Schizosaccharomyces pombe: one gene and its partners. The protein of the gene in region 3 purifies or fractionates together with the protein of the main gene of each other region. This does not show direct contact. Each region holds a gene or a part of one and is shown on either strand. Other genes may lie near its edges. The genes, in order: ape2, lap2 and nbr1.

Region 1 (7,550 bases), 1.4 Mb from region 3:
GCTCACTTTTCTTTTTCTTTTTCCATGGAATGGTTTGAGCGTCATACGTGGGCCAGAGCCATATTGGACATCTTAGTGCCCTTACAGGAATAGTCATATTGATACTTTTTCTGTGGGTCGGTAGTTCAGATAGCTTTTTGCTTTGTAGTATAAGTTTTAAATTTTTTGTATGACTCATTAATGTTTTTTAATTCATTTTAATATTATTCATGTTATGTGTTGGTTGTATTTGTCTGTCTTGTGTAAATTTTGGTTGTATTCGTGGGTTTTAAAAACCTGCTGTTTACTTAATTTTGAATTATCGAAATTTCTTCCATTTTTTAGTGTTATAGGGACAGCTTGTTTGTCGGACAGGATACTCAATGGGTTTAACAAGCTACGTTCATTTCTATTTTGTCACTATTATGGCTGTAATGTGAAATATCATAGTTGATTGTGCCGTGGATAAAAGAAAAAATCCTAGTGTTCTTTGCTCTGTCTTCTCCACGGGTATTAACAATGCACATGCTGTATGTCGTTTAACGTTTAGATGCATTTCATATTTGTTCACCTTATCGTTATCTCTGTTGTATCTATTAAGTTCCCACACTGGGGCACTAAAATGGTGCGGAAGGATCCTATAATCGTAGGAGTCGTTGGTGTTTCTCTGCAATATCCGAGGATCTTATCTTATAAAAGGAGGTATACGGCACATTGCAAAAGAAAGTCAATTATCAAAATTGTATTGTAATTTTGTTTCCAGACAATTTTACCCTTGTTTATTTTGTTACGGTAAGTATTAAAAAATATGATGTCGGGAATGAAGAAACGATGAGAGCGATTAAGTGACATACAAACGATTTATTAGATTGGAATTGAAATTTACGTTCGTTTGGCGTAAATTCTATGATCGTGCTACCAAATATGTAGAAATAGACTTTGGTATTAAAGGAGGATTGACAATAAGCGAGTCGAGCAGTAAGTAATTATATTCTTGGGCAAAAATTTTTTTGTCATAAGACATGCACTGCCGATTTCATTTTTCTTAGGCAAAGTAGAAAAGCTCCGCAGCAATCTTAGAAAGAAAGGCAGTTTGTAAATAGAATCAAACAATCGTTACCACCGATGAGACCAAGTATTTTTGGCTTGGACGAGCTTTACTGTTTTTGAAGACCAAATATTCTAAGCCTAATAAAAACGCCTTGCTATGTGAGGGATAAATCTTTTTTTTCTTGTTACAAGTCTTGCCTTGAATTGTCTATTCTATTTATCGACGGTAATTTTAGCGCTTCGGAACCAAGAAAAGTGATGTAGTTTTTTCTGCACAAAACGGTAATATATTTTTGCGTGGTTTTATTCTAAACATCGAAAAGCTCCGGTTTCTTTAACTATCTCATCTTCCACTGAGTGATAAAGTCACCAACATTAGCACATTCGGGGGATTTTGAAATGTTTTCTCTCAACTGTCAAGCTACAAGATGTGTTTCTTCTTGTTTTACATTTAATATTTTTTATCTTAAAAAAGCAGCAGAATTCATAGCATCAATCAATATCTAACTAGTTGCTTCTGTTTTTGTTTTAAGGAGAGCTCGTTTATACTCCCTAAAATCACCTTGGATATGGGATTTCGAGTCGGTTACGACATTGGGGTTTATCATTTGTTGTTGTTACTTTAAAATAAGTTGTTTATGATACTTATGTTACGTGAAGAAACTATGCTTACTCCATCAGACGCTTATATATCCTGGGCACACACACATAGTGCTTTCACCAACCTTCTACTTACACCAACTACCTACTTAACCATCTTCATTGGCAGCTTAGACCTATTACATCTTTTCGTCGTTTAGTGTCTTTACGTTTTTCGTTTGTTGCTTGGAAAATATCATTACGTTTAAGTGTGTAATCGTGTGCTTTTCAGCGTTGTTGGACAAATTATCATCTGTTCCATCCCGTTTCCCATCGTTCTCATTTCCACAGCGTGGAAAACGACATCTACATTTCTTTGACTATTAAAATTTAAAATTAACGTTAGGTTTTTTAAGATTAATTAAGGAGTCTGTTGAATTACTCTATCGATCGTTATCGGCTGTTTGTTTGTTCGTATCGATACTTTTTCTAACTAACTGACTCATCGTTCGTAATTCCATCTTCCTACGGTTTTTGTACCATTATTTAATTAGTTGGCAAATTCTTCCTTCACCTTTCCCACTATCGTATCACATTTGCTCTATTCAGCTTCATTATTGCTCTGGCTAGTTTAGCTGTATTGATTTTCAGCGTTATTTTTCTTTTGTAAAAATGCAAGTCACCATTCCTAAATCTACTTCTAAGGAAGACGATAAAAATCGGAATTTGCTTCCAAAAAATGTTAAACCCATCCACTATGATTTGAGTTTATATCCAGATTTGGAGACGTTCACTTACGGCGGTAAAGTCGTCGTTACCTTGGATGTACTTGAGGACAGCAACAGTATTACTCTACATGGCATTAACCTTCGTATTTTGACGGCTGCGTTAGAATGGGGCAGCCAAACCGTCTGGGCCAGCGAAGTCTCTTATGGGGATGAGCGTATCGTTCTTCAATTTCCCTCCACTGTCCCAGCCAACTCTGTTGCTGTTTTGACGTTGCCTTTCACTGCCCGTATTTCCAGTGGCATGGAGGGTTTCTACCGCTCTAGTTACGTTGACAGCGATGGTAATACCAAGTATCTTGCCACGACCCAGATGGAGCCTACTAGTGCTCGTCGTGCTTTCCCCTGCTGGGATGAACCTGCTTTGAAAGCTACCTTTACCATCGATATCACTGCTAAGGAAAACTATACTATCCTTAGTAACATGAATGCCGTTGAGGAAACTGTCAAGGATGGTTTGAAAACTGCCCGTTTTGCCGAAACTTGCCGAATGTCCACTTACCTTTTGGCTTGGATTGTTGCCGAACTCGAATACGTTGAGTATTTCACCCCTGGCAAGCATTGCCCCCGTCTTCCTGTTCGTGTTTATACTACACCTGGGTTTTCCGAACAGGGTAAATTTGCTGCGGAATTAGGTGCTAAGACCTTAGACTTCTTCTCTGGTGTATTTGGCGAGCCATATCCTTTACCCAAATGCGATATGGTTGCTATTCCTGATTTTGAAGCAGGTGCTATGGAAAATTGGGGTTTAGTTACCTACAGACTTGCTGCCATCTTGGTTTCTGAGGATTCCGCTGCTACTGTAATTGAACGTGTAGCCGAAGTTGTACAACACGAATTAGCCCATCAGTGGTTTGGTAATCTTGTTACCATGCAATTTTGGGACGGCTTATGGCTTAATGAGGGTTTCGCTACCTGGATGTCATGGTTTAGCTGTAACCATTTTTACCCTGAATGGAAGGTTTGGGAATCTTATGTTACAGACAACCTTCAATCTGCTCTTTCGTTGGATGCACTTCGTTCCAGTCATCCTATTGAAGTTCCCATTATGCACGATTACGAAATTAACCAAATATTTGACGCTATCTCTTACTCTAAAGGTTCTTGTGTTATCCGCATGGTTAGCAAGTATGTTGGCGAAGATACGTTTATTAAGGGTATTCAAAAATACATTTCTAAGCACCGTTATGGTAACACAGTTACGGAAGACTTATGGGCTGCCTTGTCGGCAGAATCAGGTCAGGACATCTCTTCCACTATGCACAATTGGACTAAGAAGACAGGTTATCCCGTGCTATCCGTTTCTGAAACCAATGATGGAGAGCTTTTAATTGAGCAACATCGATTTTTGTCAACAGGAGACGTTAAACCCGAAGAAGATACTGTAATTTATTGGGCCCCCTTAAAACTTAAAACGATGAAGGATGGTAAAGCAGTTGTTGATGAAAAAGCTGTGCTTTCAGACCGATCCAAGAAAATTAAAGTTGATAAAGAGGCTCTCGAATCTTATAAGCTAAACTCTGAACAATCTGGTATCTACCGTGTTAACTATTCTGCCGATCATTTAAAGAAGTTATCTCAAATTGCGGTTGAAAAGCCAGATTATCTTAGTGTCGAGGATCGTGCTGGTTTAATTGCCGACGTCGCTTCTCTCTCGAGAGCTGGCTACGGTAAAGTTAGCAGCACTTTAGATCTTATCAAAACTTGGAAAGACGAGCCTAACTTTGTAGTCTTTGCTGAGATGCTTGCCCGCTTGAATGGTATAAAGTCCACTTTACGTTTCGAAAGTTCTGATATCATTGCTGCAATGAAAAAGTTAGTTCTGGAGGTTTCTGCTACTAAAGCCCATTCACTCGGCTGGGAATTCAAGGCAAATGACGATCATATCATTCGCCAATTTAAGAGTACAGTATACAATTATGCCGGTTTGTTTGGTGATGATAAGGTGGTTAAGGATGCACTTTCCAAGTTTGATGCTTACGCGTCTGGTAATAAGTCCGCCATTAATGATAATTTGAGATCCGCCGTATTTAACATTGCAATTCGTTATGGTGGTGCTAAGTCGTGGGATCAACTTCTTGAAATTTATACTAAAACTAATGATCCTTATGTCCGTAATAGTTGTTTGAGAGCCTTTGGTGTTACTGAAGATGAAAAGTATATTCAAAAAACTTTGGATTTAACCCTTGACCCTATTGTCAAGGAACAAGATATTTATCTTATTTTGGTTACATTGAGTACTCACAAAAACGGTGTTTTGGCAATGTGGAAGTTTGCTACTTCTAACTGGGATAAGTTGCTTTCAAGACTTCCTGTTGCTGGTACAATGCGTGGCTACGTTGTGAGATTCGTAACAAGTGGATTCACTCATGCCTCCGCTATTGATAAAATTAAGGAATTTTTTGCCGATAAAGATACGAAGTTGTATGAACGTGCACTTCAACAATCTTTGGACACTATTTCTGCTAATTCAAGTTTCATCGACAAATCACTGGATGATATCACTCGCTGGCTTAAGGAGAATCGTTATATGTAAGTCTTTGCATATTTAGAAACGGTATGTGGTGAATGCTTAAATTGTGGCATTTGAAACTGTCAAGTTGATCACCATGTTTTTATGAACGATGACTACTGCAAGTTATGTATATACTGATGGACGACGCCTTTACTTAGATTGCATACATCTATGAAATTTTGATTTTTGAAACTGACGTAAAATACATTTAAAGTTTTATAAATTTATGTTATAACAGTATGTTGTTTACTCCACACTGGCACTTTACTATTTTCAGTATACACCGACATCAACTAAAGGTGTGCAAAACGAAGGTGAATTACTGAATATTAACTGGAACTAATGTAACTTTAATTTCAATCATATAATAAAACGCTAATATAATAAATTTCTCGTATCGTCGGCCCTTACGCCAATCGCCTAAATTAATAGGACATAAGAGTAAGGTTCTTTATCAACGAGTTTTGATCTCGAGGTCGCAAAGTCTAAAAAGACTCTGGCAGTAGCATACGTACTAATTCACATAACCACCGTGGCTGACCCCTTAACTTTTTGATTAAAGAATAATGTAGCAAGCGCACTTGTTTATATAGTAAATTACATTTTTTAATAGGGTAGGGTTGTGACTACCTTAACGACTCGGAGCTGGTACTGTCATATCGCTGGTTTGAAATAACGAAATTTAAGGAGAAATTTAGCCGATTTCAAGGAATATTTTGATTGTATCTACATTTACTTGAAAAGACTTAATGTGTTTGTTGCAGATAGATGAGCATCGATTATACTTATATTTTTAGTGACTCAAAAAATCTCTAGCTGGTTTAAAAATGCATAAATTAAAAAAAATTAGAACGTAGAAAGAACTATGTTAACAATAGATGGCGGTTAAAACAAATTGAGAAAAGATTATAAAGAACGAAGCATTAGTAGATATGAAACATGTGTAAACGTTACGTTACGCACGGATCAAATAAATGAAACATAAACGAAGAATAATGCATATGCAAAGAATAACGATAGAGGAGAAACGATTAAACGTCCAAAGAAGGTAAAGGAATTGTTGCCTGAAGACACGAAAGTCGTTCAGTTTCTATCAAGGCACTGCAATTGGCACGATGTTCATACATTTTTTTAAACCAATTGCTTACCGTCGACAAGAGAGGGATGCTTTTAAGCTTATGGACGGCAATGGCGTCAATGCGTAAATAGCTTTGACGATAATTAAAACCTTCGTTGGGTAAAATCAAATCATACAATGTGCATTTAGAGAATTCCGCATTTTTTACATTACCGGAAAGGTAAATGCTATAGCCGGTCTGAGCATCTTCAAACGGAATAATAATATTACGGCGTTTAGCCACCTCATAAGCCATATCAGGAGATACTATATAGAAGAACCCGCACATGTACGGGAAGTCACGAACAGCGGTAGGTAATTCTCTTCGTGTGCAATCCCTTCCAAAATAAAAGCGGCTTTTCCCAACGTGCTCTTTCAACATTTCAAACAGACGGGGTAAATTCAAGAAAGAATCGTCATCGGCTTTAACAATAAAATCGTAGTCATGCTTTGGCTCGCCGAGATCTTGGAATTCCTTCATACCAGGCAACTCATATGTCTTAATACTTTGATTATATATAAAACTACCATGAAACTGAGTGCTGGGCATTATAAGATTATCTGCAAGTTCAGAAAAAAGAGGAAACGGCTGGTAGCCCTCTAAAAATGTTTGGAAGTATACAATGGACTTTCCAGCATCCACATTCTCCGGAATAGGTAGTACTGCTAAGTCACCATACGTTCGCTGCTCTTCGCGAATGGTAGCTAATTCCTGCTCATTCTCAGGTAAACCAAGGATAAATCTAACATCCACAGTATCATTTACGGCAAACTCCTTAATATATTCATTATAGTCGGTACGTAAAAAGTTACGCCTATCCACGTTCTTAGCTTGACTAAAAATCCCCAAATACAGTTTGAAAGGTCTGTCGTTCGCATGGGCAAGCGATTCATTTTGCTTAATGAAGGGATCTAAAAACAAATTCTCTACGTAGGCGAGTGAATGTTCTTCGGCCTGTAGACGATTTAGTACAAGAAAAGCAAAGGAAAAAGTAGCAACACCGGCAATTAGCACGTAAAGAAAAATTTTTTTTTTAGAATTTGAAAACATAGTGAAAGAGTTTAATTAAACGAGCACGTTGCGCCAGGAGGTCAATTAGAGAGACGTGAATATTAATTGTCCCTTTGAATAAAAGAATAAAATAAAACCAAACTTAAAGATCGTTGAGAATTAAACAAAAGACTCCTTGAATATATGAGCCAGCAAACAGAATATAACTCTGAAAGGAGTATAATGTTTGGTTCTGAAAACAAAGCTGTGCTTGGTGCCATATTCACGTCCACCATAAATACGCAGTCATAATGTAACCAGAAGAGCAGCTACTCAAACCCTTAATGCCCTCATAGCGTTGGTAACTATAAATGCGTTAACTATATATACCGGGTTGCTACATTTCTTTATCTCAGAGTCCATTAACCAAAGGATTCATACATATACAATTTTTCTATTTTGTTTATTTTTATGAATAATTTAATAGGAGATACTCGTTAAATGAACTTAGTTTTAGTATTCAGTTTCCTCTAT
Region 2 (6,515 bases), on a different chromosome or scaffold from region 3:
ATTTTAAGAACGCCCACGGTGTTAACGTCCCTAGAAGACGTTTCTTACCCGTCAAAACCTGCTCTGACTTACTTCTCGTCAAGTCTGACCTCTATTCCATCAACCATGGTCAGGTTGAGATGAATCCTCGCCGATTCGGAGGTACCGCTCCTTTAGTCAAATTAGGCGCACACTTCAAGAAAGTTGCTGATTTCTCTGCTCACATTCCCAGCATTCCAAAAATCCTTGAACTTGATCATCTGACCATTACTGGTGACGTTAATATTGGTCGCAATGTTACTCTTAAGGGTACCGTGATTATTGTCGCTAGTGATGCCAACCGTATTGACATTCCTAATGGTTCTGTCCTTGAGAACTGTGTCATTACCGGTAATCTCAATATCTTGGAGCACTAAATCGTCGCTCTTTTTTCATGACTTTTTCATTACATGCATTAGAATAGCACTTTATGGAAACCACAATGTTCTTTTTATATACAGAAATGTGTTGACGAGATCAGATTGCATTCATGTTAAAAAATTTGCATTAGATACATAAGTCGTAGTTGATCATAAAAATTTTGGTTGAGATGTTGTAAATCTTAGTATTGTGAAACGACTTTGGTTTTCTCTTCCTAATATATGATTTCTTCTTTTTATTGTTTGCTAGGTCAAAAAAAAAATAATATATATTTATATCATAATATCTACATCTATCATCAAAAAGCTAAGGCGAGAAAAAGGCTCCATGTAGATGTATTCTTTTGTTAGTAGGCAAGCAGCATTTATGAATTCTATTCAGATAAGCCTAAGTCCTTTTCAACTTGAGAAGCACAAATTTTATGATAGAAATGCTTATACTTTTCAAACGTTTCAATTGCAAAAGCACGATCTGCCTCATTCAACAGTCTGAAAATTGGGCGAACAAACTTCATACGGCCAACGCTGCCAACACGTTCTGCAATAGTGTTGTATAATGGCTTATATTTACTCTTCAATGCGAGTTTAAAAAACCGGAAAGATAACTCTGCATTTTTCGATTCGGCAAACGAGTAAACATCACCCATTCTTTTAATATAATTGTGAGGAAAAGAGACAGCTTCATAAACAACATCCAAAAACAAAGATTTCTGGCCCGCTGACCAATTTTCAATATCTTTGCTGCTAAACTTGGAGGGATCATCAGAATTTTTAGCAGAATTAGTCCAGCTTTCTGCAAGCTTGTAGCAAGGATCTGCAAGCGTTGTATCAAAATGTGGTTTAACCGGAGGCATACCAGGAGCATGGTACCAAGTATCCCAATCAATCGAGTCCAACTTAGATGCAAGCCCAAGAGGTGAGAAGTATTCATACAGTGCATGCTTGAATTTGACTTCGTTTACGGTAGACTTTGCAAATTTCCTAAAGTAAAAGGGAAGGAATGGTTCAAAAACAGAAGGACCACCAATAACCCTCTCTATTTCATAGAGGAAATTGGAGCCCTTTTCGTAAGGAACAGTGGAAAAGGCATCATCGGGATCCCTTCCTTCGAGGTTTTGAATCAACTTCGTATACTCACTATCTTCACCCAACAATTTAACCGATTCTTCTAATTCACCCCAGCCAATAATGGCTTCAAATTGGCGAGTCGGCTCACCATAAAGACGGCCTAAAATTTTGCGTTCCAAGAAAACAGTCATACCTTCATTCAACCAAAAGCATTGCCATGACTCATTAGTAACTAAATTACCGCTCCAAGAATGGGCTAATTCATGAGCAATAACGTTAACATTGGAGCGATCTCCGGCAATAAGTGTCGGCGTAGCAAACGTAGCATTAGGGTTCTCCATACCTCCGTATGGGAAGGAAGGCGGAAGGATGACAAAATCATACCGTGTCCAGCAATAAGGAAGTGTTAGTTGCTCGGCGGCTTCCATAAAGTTTTCCATGTCATGTTCAAATTCGTATTTGCAAGCTAACAAGTTGCCAGGCTCTGTGTATACAGAAGAACGTGGACCTATATTTGTGGAGGCCAAATCACCACTGAGAATGCAAAATAAATAACTAGGGATTGGATTTTTTTGCTCAAACAGGTATTCCAAAGAGCCATTGCAGAAATTAGCTGTTCCACATGGGATACCCGATGCGATTACGGGAAGTTTGGACCGGATCTTAAAAGTACACGGAACTTTAACAGAAGGAGTATCTTGACAGGGAATGAATGAACGTGCATGAATGGCTTGACATTCCGAAAAAACATAAGGAAATTTACCACCTATCGTTTGTTCAGGCTTCAAAAACTGAAGTGCTGTACAATCCTTAGTAGTGGAATATAAGATTGTAAGTATACAGGATTTTGAGGAAGGGATTTCATCAGCGGGAACGATATGCAAAGCTGAACCCAAAAATCCGCGCCGCTTATCAACACGGAAAGGAGTAGGGATGTCATTAATCGTTACATTCTTGATTTCGAGGTAAGAAGTGTCAAGGATAATATGGGACAGGGCTTGGGACACCCTAGCAGATTGAATCACAAAGGATACTTTACCATGGAGCAGCTCTTGGTCAAAGTCAATTCGAGCGTGCCAATCGAGCTTACTGATTGAGACATCATGATAATTAGATTGAGTGGAAGGGTCCAAACGAAGTTTCATATTTAAAATTAATTGAAGGAATTTAGGACAATGTACAAACGAATTCTTTAAACGAAAACAACGCTCAATATATTAGAAGCCTAGATAAAACCAACGAGTACAACGATCTCAGCTTTAGCAATATGAGTTATGCTACTGAGTAAATAAAAATATTAAGTATAAAATAGTTAAAACAGATTAATCACAGTTTTATAAAGGAAGGAATAGGAAAAGCGATCATACAGCAATACGATGAGTAGCAACATGTGTGGATATGGGTGCAGCGCGTTATGCTACTTTATCGATATCATTATGTATCACTACATTTATTTTCGTTGAGCAACGCAATTTGTAAATTCACAAAAGAAAACAGTTTATTGTTGAATAGGAGTTTTGGAGAGAGGGCTTTGAAAAGTAAATAATTATTATTTTTGTGCTCATAAAATTACCAAGAATGTTTGAAAGGATCATTGCCAATGATAAGTTATTATAAAAGAGACAGCGTCCCTTAGCTTGGGAATGTAAATAATACAATAACTGTTACGATTATTGATTTTGGTTTATTTTAAATAAAATAGTAAAAAAATGTTATTCATTTATTTGTAATTTCATAAGGTTTAGGCATAAACGAGAGAGAATTCCACAAATCTTGGTCATTCCCTCTTTAATAAGATACGTTTGTTAACAGATAACAGAAAGAAGGCAATATTACATTATCATTTATTGTAATATGAATTAGTTGTCTATAGAAAGAAAAATGAGCAATAATAGAAGTATTAGTCTTTGTGATCTTTCTATTTCTTCAATTACGAACAGAGTTAAAAGTTCGAATTTTGAATCGCAGCTCGACCTCCGAAGGGTAACCAAAAAACCCAAAATCTTCTGATACTAAAATACCAAAAAAACTGAACGCAACGTTTTTAATTTGAAAATTATTTCACCATTTCCGAAATCGAAGCGCTTTCTAAGTGTTTCCTATAATTCCTTCCTTTGGCTCACATATACTGAGTGCGACTGGTACAGCCTTGCTCAAGCAAAAACCAAGTCTCAGACTTTTTTGGAGAATGCAAGTAGATCCTGTAGTATATCAACTACAACGTGCTGTAAGTCAAGATCCCATTGCTGTTAAGGATGCTGAAGGGCATTTAAACAACTGGAAAAAGGAACCAGGTTTCTTTGGCAAGCTGTACAGTATATTTTTGGATAAACAAAATGACATGAGTTTACGATGGATTGCTATCATTCAACTACGGAACTCCATAGATATAATATGGAGGAAAAATACAAAAATGTAAGTTAGGAGTAGTCTCGAAGAATCAACCTGTACTGTTAGACTTTCGTAATTGCTAATGTATGATTGTTTGGCAGGTCTTTACTTCCAGAAGAACGTGACTTTATACGATGTAATGCTCTTTTAGGATCTATAAAATCTGAAAACCTCTTATCTATTCAAAATGCGCTGGTCGTCTCTCGAATTGCTAGATTGGATTATCCCACCGAATGGCCTTCTCTTTTTCACGATCTTTTAGGCAAGTTACAGCAGTCATTGGGTACAGGAGATTACGATGTGGCTTTAAGATTACTAATTACTCTTCATCACATTATCAAAGCAATGGCTGGGAATCGTCTTTTGAGATCGCGACAGATTTTTTACAAACTTGCTCCAGAATTGCTTACGATTCTTCAACCCATTTTACATTCTAGTTTATCAAGCTGGATGATGATACTTGAATCTTCTAAGGAAATTAAAGATTCTACTTTGTTGTCTTATATGCAAATATCTCGATACACGCTTAAGGCATGTAGACGGTTGGTTGTTTTTGGTTTCCAAAATCCTAGTGAAAGTGAATTTAGTGAGCGTATGTTAGCTTTTTGTGCTGTTCATCAGCGAAAACTTTTGAGTATGCTTGGTACAATGCTTCAATCCTCGCGGTCTCCGATAGTAGTTGGGGAGTGCTTAGAAATGGCTTTTGCACATGCTTTCTTATTCAATAAGCCATTCTTTGATTTTTCTTTCTATAGTCCATGCTTGACTAAGTTTCCAGCTACTATTGATTACATTTCATTGCACTATGATTTTTTGGGTCAAATCAGTTCTCATCTTTCTTCATACAAAGAAAAGTTTGAAGAGAGCTCAAAAAATTTTGAAAAACTTGTGATTATGAGCTTACGAGTATTTATCCTTGTCATCCAAGAATTCTGCAATACTAAATCGTCGCACCCCGAAACGGCTCAAGTTCTTTACAACTCATTTCTCGTAGATAATCGTATAAACAATCTTTTGGATTTACTCATCACCAAACTACTAATATTAAAAGAAGAAGATTTTGAAGAATGGACGGATTCCCCACAACAATGGGTCCTTGAACAATCGACCCAGGATGTTGAGTTTAACGTTAGGGTAAGTTGATTATGAATATGGGTTTTTTGATAAGCTTATCATTAACGATAATATAGCCTTGTGCCGAAAAACTTTTAAAATGCTTCTTTGATGCATATGGAGATATTATCGTTTCGCCGTTCAAGGATATGATTTACAGCGTTTTTGAGTGTCCAAAGACGTTAACACAAGCAGTTCAACAAGACACTTTGATCAGTTCTTTCGGAGTTGGATATACCCAATTGAAGAGTATTTTTCCTTTTGCAAAATGGCTACAGGAAGCCGCAGTTCCCAACATGGCTTCCATTAATGATATTGGGATATCTAGAGTGTATCGACGAAGAATTGCCATTTTTTTATCGCAATGGATTGAAGATTCTTCTTCAGAACAACTCCTTGAGGTTATTTACAAATTGTATTGCTCATTTCTCAACTTAACAGATCCTTGCAATGACGCCGTAGTCATTTTAACAACTATAGATGCTTTCAAAACCGTTTTAGATGATTGGAATTTTTCTGAGAATTCATTTCTTTCTATCAAAGAAAATTTGTTTGTCCATGTTCTTTCTTTGTTTAAAGCGTTTGAATCAGTCGATGCTAGGACTTCCATCTTGTCTTTACTTGGTACTTTATTGGCAAGGGCCGGAGAACATGTTGCTCCCATGGAAAGTACCATTGCTTCTCTCCTTTCTCAATTATGGGATGGTTGGAAAAAGGAACCGCTGCTGCGAGCACGAGTTTTGGCAGTTATGCACCAATTCGTCAATGTAAGTGTTTGGCTATATACAACAGACTGTTTTCTTATACTAATTTCTAGGCGATCAAAGCAAAATCTTTTGAATTTTCAACTTTTTTATATACGGTAATAGAATATTGTGTAAATCCGGAATCTCCAGAGCATGTTATTTTCGAAGCGGATGCAATGGAATTGTGGAGCACCTTTCTCATGTACATACAAAAATTGCCAGAAACTTTTACCCTACTTATCCCTCATTTATTGTACCATCTTTCACAGGCCACGTCTACCCTTCCATTCGTTCTAATGATAGTAAGCAGTTATCAACTTTTAGACAATACCGTTTTGATGAAGGATTACTCATTTACCATATTTGAAAAGTTGAACGACTTATTAGACGATGTAAAAAACGAAACTTTGCAAGCACTATGTAAAACTGTATGTCTACTCATTGAAACTACTCCGATGGATATGATTTACGAATCATTGCTGAACAGTTCACTTCTGTCGAGGCTCCTACTCTCCATTGCAACAAATGATAAACACCCTCAGGTGTTGATTGAATATTTATTGGTGGTGTCACGCATCTCATTGCGCGAGCCGGAATTAATATTGAAGGTTTGTCAAACGAAAAATATCAACATAGCTATGCTTATCGGCAACTGGATTTTATTAAACGACCACATAAACCACTCGAAAGATCGAAAACTGAACACACTCGCCCTCAGCTCTCTGCTGCGAACAAATCATCCCGACGTTTTGGCAGTGTTGGATTCTATCATGAATTTATGGTTCAGCGTTTTGAGTGA
Region 3 (6,068 bases):
GCCATTGCAAAATAATGTTCGGGAACTTTTTAATTTACTGCAGTTTTTAAATCCCATGAAAATAAATGCTGCTGAGCTTGAAAAAAGATACAGCATTATTGATACGGAAAAGGTGACTGAACTTCATCAAATCTTAAAGCCGTTTTTTTTAAGAAGAGTGAAAAGCGAAGTACTGGATAACTTTCCTACGAAGGTTGAAGTAATTATTCCTTTGTCCATGACACCTGTTCAAAAAGGTTTATACAAATCGATTCTTTCAAAAAATTTGTCTTTGCTACGTAATATTACCGGCTATGCTAATACCAGTTCTTCTGGAGGGCAAAGGACTACTTCATTGAACAACATTTTGATGCAACTTCGAAAAACATTAGCTCATCCGTACATTTATTCACCAGATATTGAAGACCGTAATCTCCCGTATGAACTTGCTATGCGTTCACTGGAAGAAGCCAGCTGTAAGTTTTTAATATTACGCTTATTGGTACCGAAATTGATAACTCGCGGGCATCGTATATTATTGTTTTCTCAATTTATCCAGCAACTCGATATCCTTGAAGATTGGTTTGAATATAAAAACATAGCCTATGCACGTTTTGATGGCGCCTCATCGGAAATGGAAAGGCAGTCAGCAATCGACTCTTTTAATGCTCCTAATTCTGAGTTGTCATGTTTCTTACTTTCTACCCGTGCTGGTGGAGTTGGCATCAATTTAGCTAGTGCGGACACTGTTATTATACTAGATCCTGATTTCAATCCTCATCAAGACATGCAAGCGATTGCAAGGGCTCATCGATATGGGCAAAAAAAAAAGGTACTTGTCTTTGTGTTAACTACTCGAGATTCTGTAGAGGAAAAAATCATTCAAAACGCTCAAAAGAAGCTTGTATTGGACCACTTAATTGTTGAGTCATTGGATCAAAATCATAATTCAGAAAAAGATTTAGAAAGTATCTTGCGGCATGGGGCTCGTGCATTATTTGAAGAGGCTGGTGATGAACCGTCTATTAAGTATAATGAATATTCGGTAGAATTACTTATCTCAGAAGCTGAGAAACAAGAAGATACTTCAACTGATGAATCAGATATAAAAAGCAATAAGTTTGGCTTTTTTCGTGTTTGGGATAACAAACATATATCTTCCAATCATTATGAAGTCAAAGAAAATGTTCTTGTTGATGAAGAAGATGTCTGGTCAGTAATACTTAAGCAACGAGAGAAGGATGCAATGCTAGAAAAAACAGACGAAACAACTTCCAACAGGAGACTTCGTGCACACCACAAAATCCATTATGGCGAAGATTTAAATATTTATGATAATAGCGACGATACTGATTATACCGTTAATGATCGATCATCACCAGGCTCCCCATTTCCCATAGAAACTGAGACAATCAGTTCGATAACAGATACTTTATCTGATAAGCAAAAACTCAAATATGATTCGAGCGTAAATATCGAAAACTTAAATGATGAATCTGATTCTCAAAAGTCTGCAGATGTTCATTTTGACTCTATCTTAGCTAAATCTCTATTAGCAACAACTCCCAAAGAAGATGAATTTAACAAAACTCTATCCACCATCAATTTAGAGGTGGCTAACAAATTAACTTCTTCAGAGTATATTAATGATTCGGAAATGCAACTGATAGACGATCCAGTTTTTTACCCACCTTACGAAATAATTGAAAAAAATCATCAACTGGTTGGAAGATCTTTGTCTAAAGCAGTTCTTGACAACTTTTTTCTACTGTCTTCTTTGTCTGATAATGTACGTTGTCGATGTTGTGGTATTAAACATTTACCAGCACATTGTCCATTAAGCATTGTGCCATTAGAAATATGCTTTTTATGTGGAACACCTCACTTTAGTGGAAGGGACACGTGCCCTATGTTACGAAATAAGGAAGCGATTTATAGACTAAAAGATTCGCTTAGCAAATCACGAGAACCATTTCACATCAAAAAACAAGCTATGGCTAGATTAAACTCGTTTCTACAAAAAAAGGAGGAACCTACTGTATCAAGCAGTGCCAAAACTAATGAACTTTCATCGAAAGTAATCATAAAGGAATCCATAATTAATGAAGCAAAAACTCTTTAGAGTTTTATCATCAATGTATACTATTATTTAATCTGGCATATTCATATGTATCCTGCATTTTATTCGTTAATATATAATTTTTAATATAAATTTTAAACATATATAGCATTTCCATCAAGATCATTATAACAAGGTAGGATCAAATATGGTAACAAGTGATTCAACTCTGAAGCAAATCATGAACTTAAAACCGGCGGTTATATACGAACAACCGCCAGACAAGTGGACAAAAGAAAGAAATATAAAACTGAAATCAGTTTCGTTATCGTTGTCTTCCACACTAAACTTCTACAGGACATAAAAAGCGTTACGAATGGTTTCAAAAAGACGACTTACTAATTCTGCTAAAAGACTTCGGTACACGAAGGAAGGCGCAAAGACTTTTGTGAAAAACGCTACCATCATCGGAGCAGATATTAAAAAATGCGGTAAAAATCTCTTTGTTACTTTTTTCAGGAACCTTCAAAGCAACTGTAAAATTAACATCCTCACCAGGATGAACGGAAGAAGTGATAGGAAACGAATATGGATTGTCTCCTGGAAAAAGTTTGTCTCCACCATTAAACTTGACATACAACGGAGAAGGCCACGATTGACAAGAAGTATTCCTTATATGCCATATTTTATAAAACGGGCAGCCAGGGCTTAATTCTAAGGGGAGAATGGAGTCCTCAACTAACTTGAAGTCGAAATTAAGAACCTTAGGTTTTTCAGGTTTAGATAAATGTAAAGGTGAAGCAGATATTTCGCGAGTTAAACGGAGCATTGAATGATGATCATGATGCACATGAGATACACATGAGGAGCAAAGATCATAGTCTTCACAAACCAGACAATGAAATCTTGGTCCAACTATTGGATGAGCAAGACAGTTGTCACATTGAACCGATCGATGTACTGTTGAGGCAGACTCAAACAATTCGGCTGATAGGAACTGAGGGAACAAATGAAATGAAGGAAGACCATGAGGATAAGCTTTAGTAATTCGAACGAAAGCATGCGTGTTTGAATGACTATTGTCGGTAAGGCAAGACTCACAAATGTCGTAGTCATCACAAACACTACACTTGTAACGCACATTATGTATAGGTTGCTCACAATGGTCACAAATGGCGTACATAAAATTAGATTGGGGAGAAACTGACATAGAATTTACGCTGCAGGTTAAGGAAGCAACTGAAGGGATTGAAGAGCGAACAAGTACGAAATGGGGTTTTGGGCAAGGATGGAGGAATGCCTGTTTCGCATAGCAGTCTCTACAAACATCGAAATCGAAACACTTTGTGCAATGAAATGAGTCATTCCGAATTATCTTGAGGCAAGTGTTACAAGCAACAGAAGAAGACCTTAAAGTAGGCGAATTATTATTGTGCTCAAAAATGTTTGACTTTAAATTATTCTCCTTAGTGAAGTGGATATTAGCGACTGAGGAATGAAAAGGAGGGAAGGAAGGAACACTATGGTTGCAAAGAATCCCACAATCAGAAGAGGGACATGTACGATTGCAAAGCATTTCGGGATCAAAAACGTGAATAAAATAAAATAAAATTTAATGATAAAAGAGAGCGTTAAAGAAAGCAAAAAAAAGAAAAAAATCGCGTAAGCAGTCAAGAAGTAACTCGAGTTCTTAGGTAAGAGAAGGTCTTAATTGTAGGTAAAAAGCTCTTTCGAAATAAGCTAAAGCAAAATTAGTAACGATATTAACTAATGAAATTAGTTGCAAAGTAAAATTTAATAGTTCATATGAATTTTGAAATTGAGGAAATATGTGACGCCGAAGTGAGCAACAGTGCTAGCAATTTCAGAGTAAAGGCAATAGAAAAAACAATCTTTATCAAGACAAGGATTTTTACGTTCTCGTAAATATTTATCGAAGATGTTATTATTAAAGTTCCATCAACCACTTTAGTCCTTCAATCCTTTTTGTAATTTGTTGTACAAACATTGAACTTAAGACTTTGTGCAAGTAAATTATCTTACCTATAGACGGAACAGGAAATAAAGACAAAACAAATAATTGAAGCGGATGTGTAGAGATACAGTGCAAACGAAATGTAAGGAGCGTTGGAATTGCAACTATAATGACGGGTTCCTAATTGGTTATGAAATCAAGCTATTAATTCTAAATGGGATGTATTCAACGGGTGAAGTGAGCAGGACAAATTCGCTAGTAGAAGTTGATGGTAATGTAAATGAACGAGGTCGAGGTGTAAGCTTATCACACGTATATGGGGGATGAGCATATCGTACTGATAATAGATAAGTTAAGCGTCGCTAAAAAGTGGTAGCGTTTAGAAGCGTGCACAGCATAAACAGTAACTTAGCGAATTTATCTACAAGAGGTTGGTACTTCAACGCATGGCCCTAAAAATGAATATATGAAAAATTTTGTTGATGTAGCAAACTTGAAAAAGAAATTGATTTAGTTAAATTGGAAACTACTTAACTTAAGCCCTAAAATGTACTTAGAAATCGGCTTAGACATTAAACTAGATATGGGTTATGGCATAAATGTAATTTAAATGAGATGTGAGTCGATAAAGTATTAATATTATATATTCTTAAATCATAAGTTGACGCTATTCTAATATCAATAAGCGATTATGAACTGAAAACGTAAATAAATGCAATTTCTCTTACAGCGTAAAATCTTTTACTACAATAATAGAAAAGGGTAGGAAAAACTCCATTATATTGGCTAAAACCGGTCACGGTATCTTTTGATGATCCGTTTGTAAAATCAATTGCAAATGAAAAGACACTAGAGAAGGTGATAAACGACCAGTTTATAGCTAAGTTAATAATTAATGGTATACTCCGCGTTATGATTTTGCTCAAATAATAATTTTGGTTTTTTGCTGATTGTTAATATTTACATTAATGAAATTTGTAAATATACGTCAAAACAAATTAACATCATACTTACATTGTCATACTAATCGCACGTTTACGCATTAACGGGAAAAAAGTAAGCAATATTTCAGTTGGATTTTAAGTCACTCATGCACCGAAATTTTTTCCAGCATATTATTAAAAGTACAAGAACATTAGGTATAAATGCAACTTCATTTCTAACCCGATATTTACTTAACGTTGGTAGACACCAGCATCCTCCGAAATTGATTAGCTCATATTCTCACATCGCTATTTCCACCTTCTCTTTTCAAATATCAGCAACTTCATTCCAACACCCTTCATACACTGTCAAAGGTTTGAGCACCTGTATTGATAAAATGAGCCAAGATCAAAAACCTAAAGTTTTGGAAGTGTCCAACCTTGAGAATCAGGATGCCAAGTGGACATCCTTAAAGAAAATCCGTTGGCAAGACGAAAAAGGAAAAATCAGGTTTTGGGAAATGGCTGAACGTACGACACGTTCAGAAGCCAATGTGGATGCCGTAGCCATCTTAGCCATTGTTCCTATCGACGGAAGTCCTCATGTGTTGTGCCAAAAGCAATTTCGTCCTCCTATTGGCAAGTTTTGTATTGAAATTCCAGCAGGTTTAGTTGATTCTAAGGAGTCTTGTGAAGATGCTGCGATTCGAGAGCTTCGTGAAGAGACTGGCTACGTTGGTACTGTTATGGACTCCACCACTGTCATGTACAATGATCCGGGTCTTACGAATGCTAATCTTAAGATTATACTGGCTGACATTGACATGTCGAAGCCTGAAAACCAAAATCCTCAACAACAACTTGACGATGGCGAATACATTGAGAACTTTCCAATCAAGCTTTCTTCTTTACAAGAGGAATTATTTTCTTTAGAGAAGAAGGGATTTGCCATTGATGTTCGTCTCTCCACATTTGCACTAGGATTACATGCTGGTCTTAAATACTTGTCGTCTTAGCTATGCACCTTTTGCTATTCACTGAATTACGACCGTTTACTATTAAATGTTGCTAATGGACTTTTTATGCTATAACTTTCCTTTGTTTTAGTCAAACTTTATTAAAAATAATATAT

What was found.
Region 1: the proteins of nbr1 (region 3) and ape2 purify together in Schizosaccharomyces pombe (affinity purification with western blotting; one study listed by BioGRID). This does not show direct contact.
Region 2: the proteins of nbr1 (region 3) and lap2 purify together in Schizosaccharomyces pombe (affinity purification with western blotting; one study listed by BioGRID). This does not show direct contact.

Annotation. Positions count from the first base shown.
Region 1 is NC_003423.3:2,411,227-2,418,776, forward strand, and holds ape2 (aminopeptidase Ape2), read left to right. Parts: upstream 1-1,751; 5' UTR 1,752-2,280; coding exon 2,281-4,929; 3' UTR 4,930-5,315; downstream 5,316-7,550. Other genes in the region: SPOM_SPBC1921.04C (uncharacterized protein), read right to left, coding at 1-178; pvg3 (galactosylxylosylprotein 3-beta-galactosyltransferase Pvg1), read right to left, coding at 5,940-7,076.
Region 2 is NC_003421.2:1,293,304-1,299,818, forward strand, and holds lap2 (aminopeptidase Lap2), read right to left. Parts: upstream 2,826-6,515; 5' UTR 2,612-2,825; coding exon 773-2,611; 3' UTR 501-772; downstream 1-500. Other genes in the region: fyu1 (UTP-glucose-1-phosphate uridylyltransferase), read left to right, coding at 1-395; karyopherin/importin beta family nuclear import signal receptor Kap113, read left to right, coding at 3,655-3,881, 3,959-4,991, 5,048-5,737, 5,788-6,515.
Region 3 is NC_003423.3:984,224-990,291, forward strand, and holds nbr1 (protein Nbr1), read right to left. Parts: upstream 4,287-6,068; 5' UTR 4,082-4,286; intron 3,779-4,081; 5' UTR 3,615-3,778; coding exon 2,421-3,614; 3' UTR 2,160-2,420; downstream 1-2,159. Other genes in the region: SHREC complex ATP-dependent chromatin remodeller Mit1, read left to right, coding at 1-2,101; subfamily NudF ADP-ribose diphosphatase Ysa1, read left to right, coding at 5,335-5,952.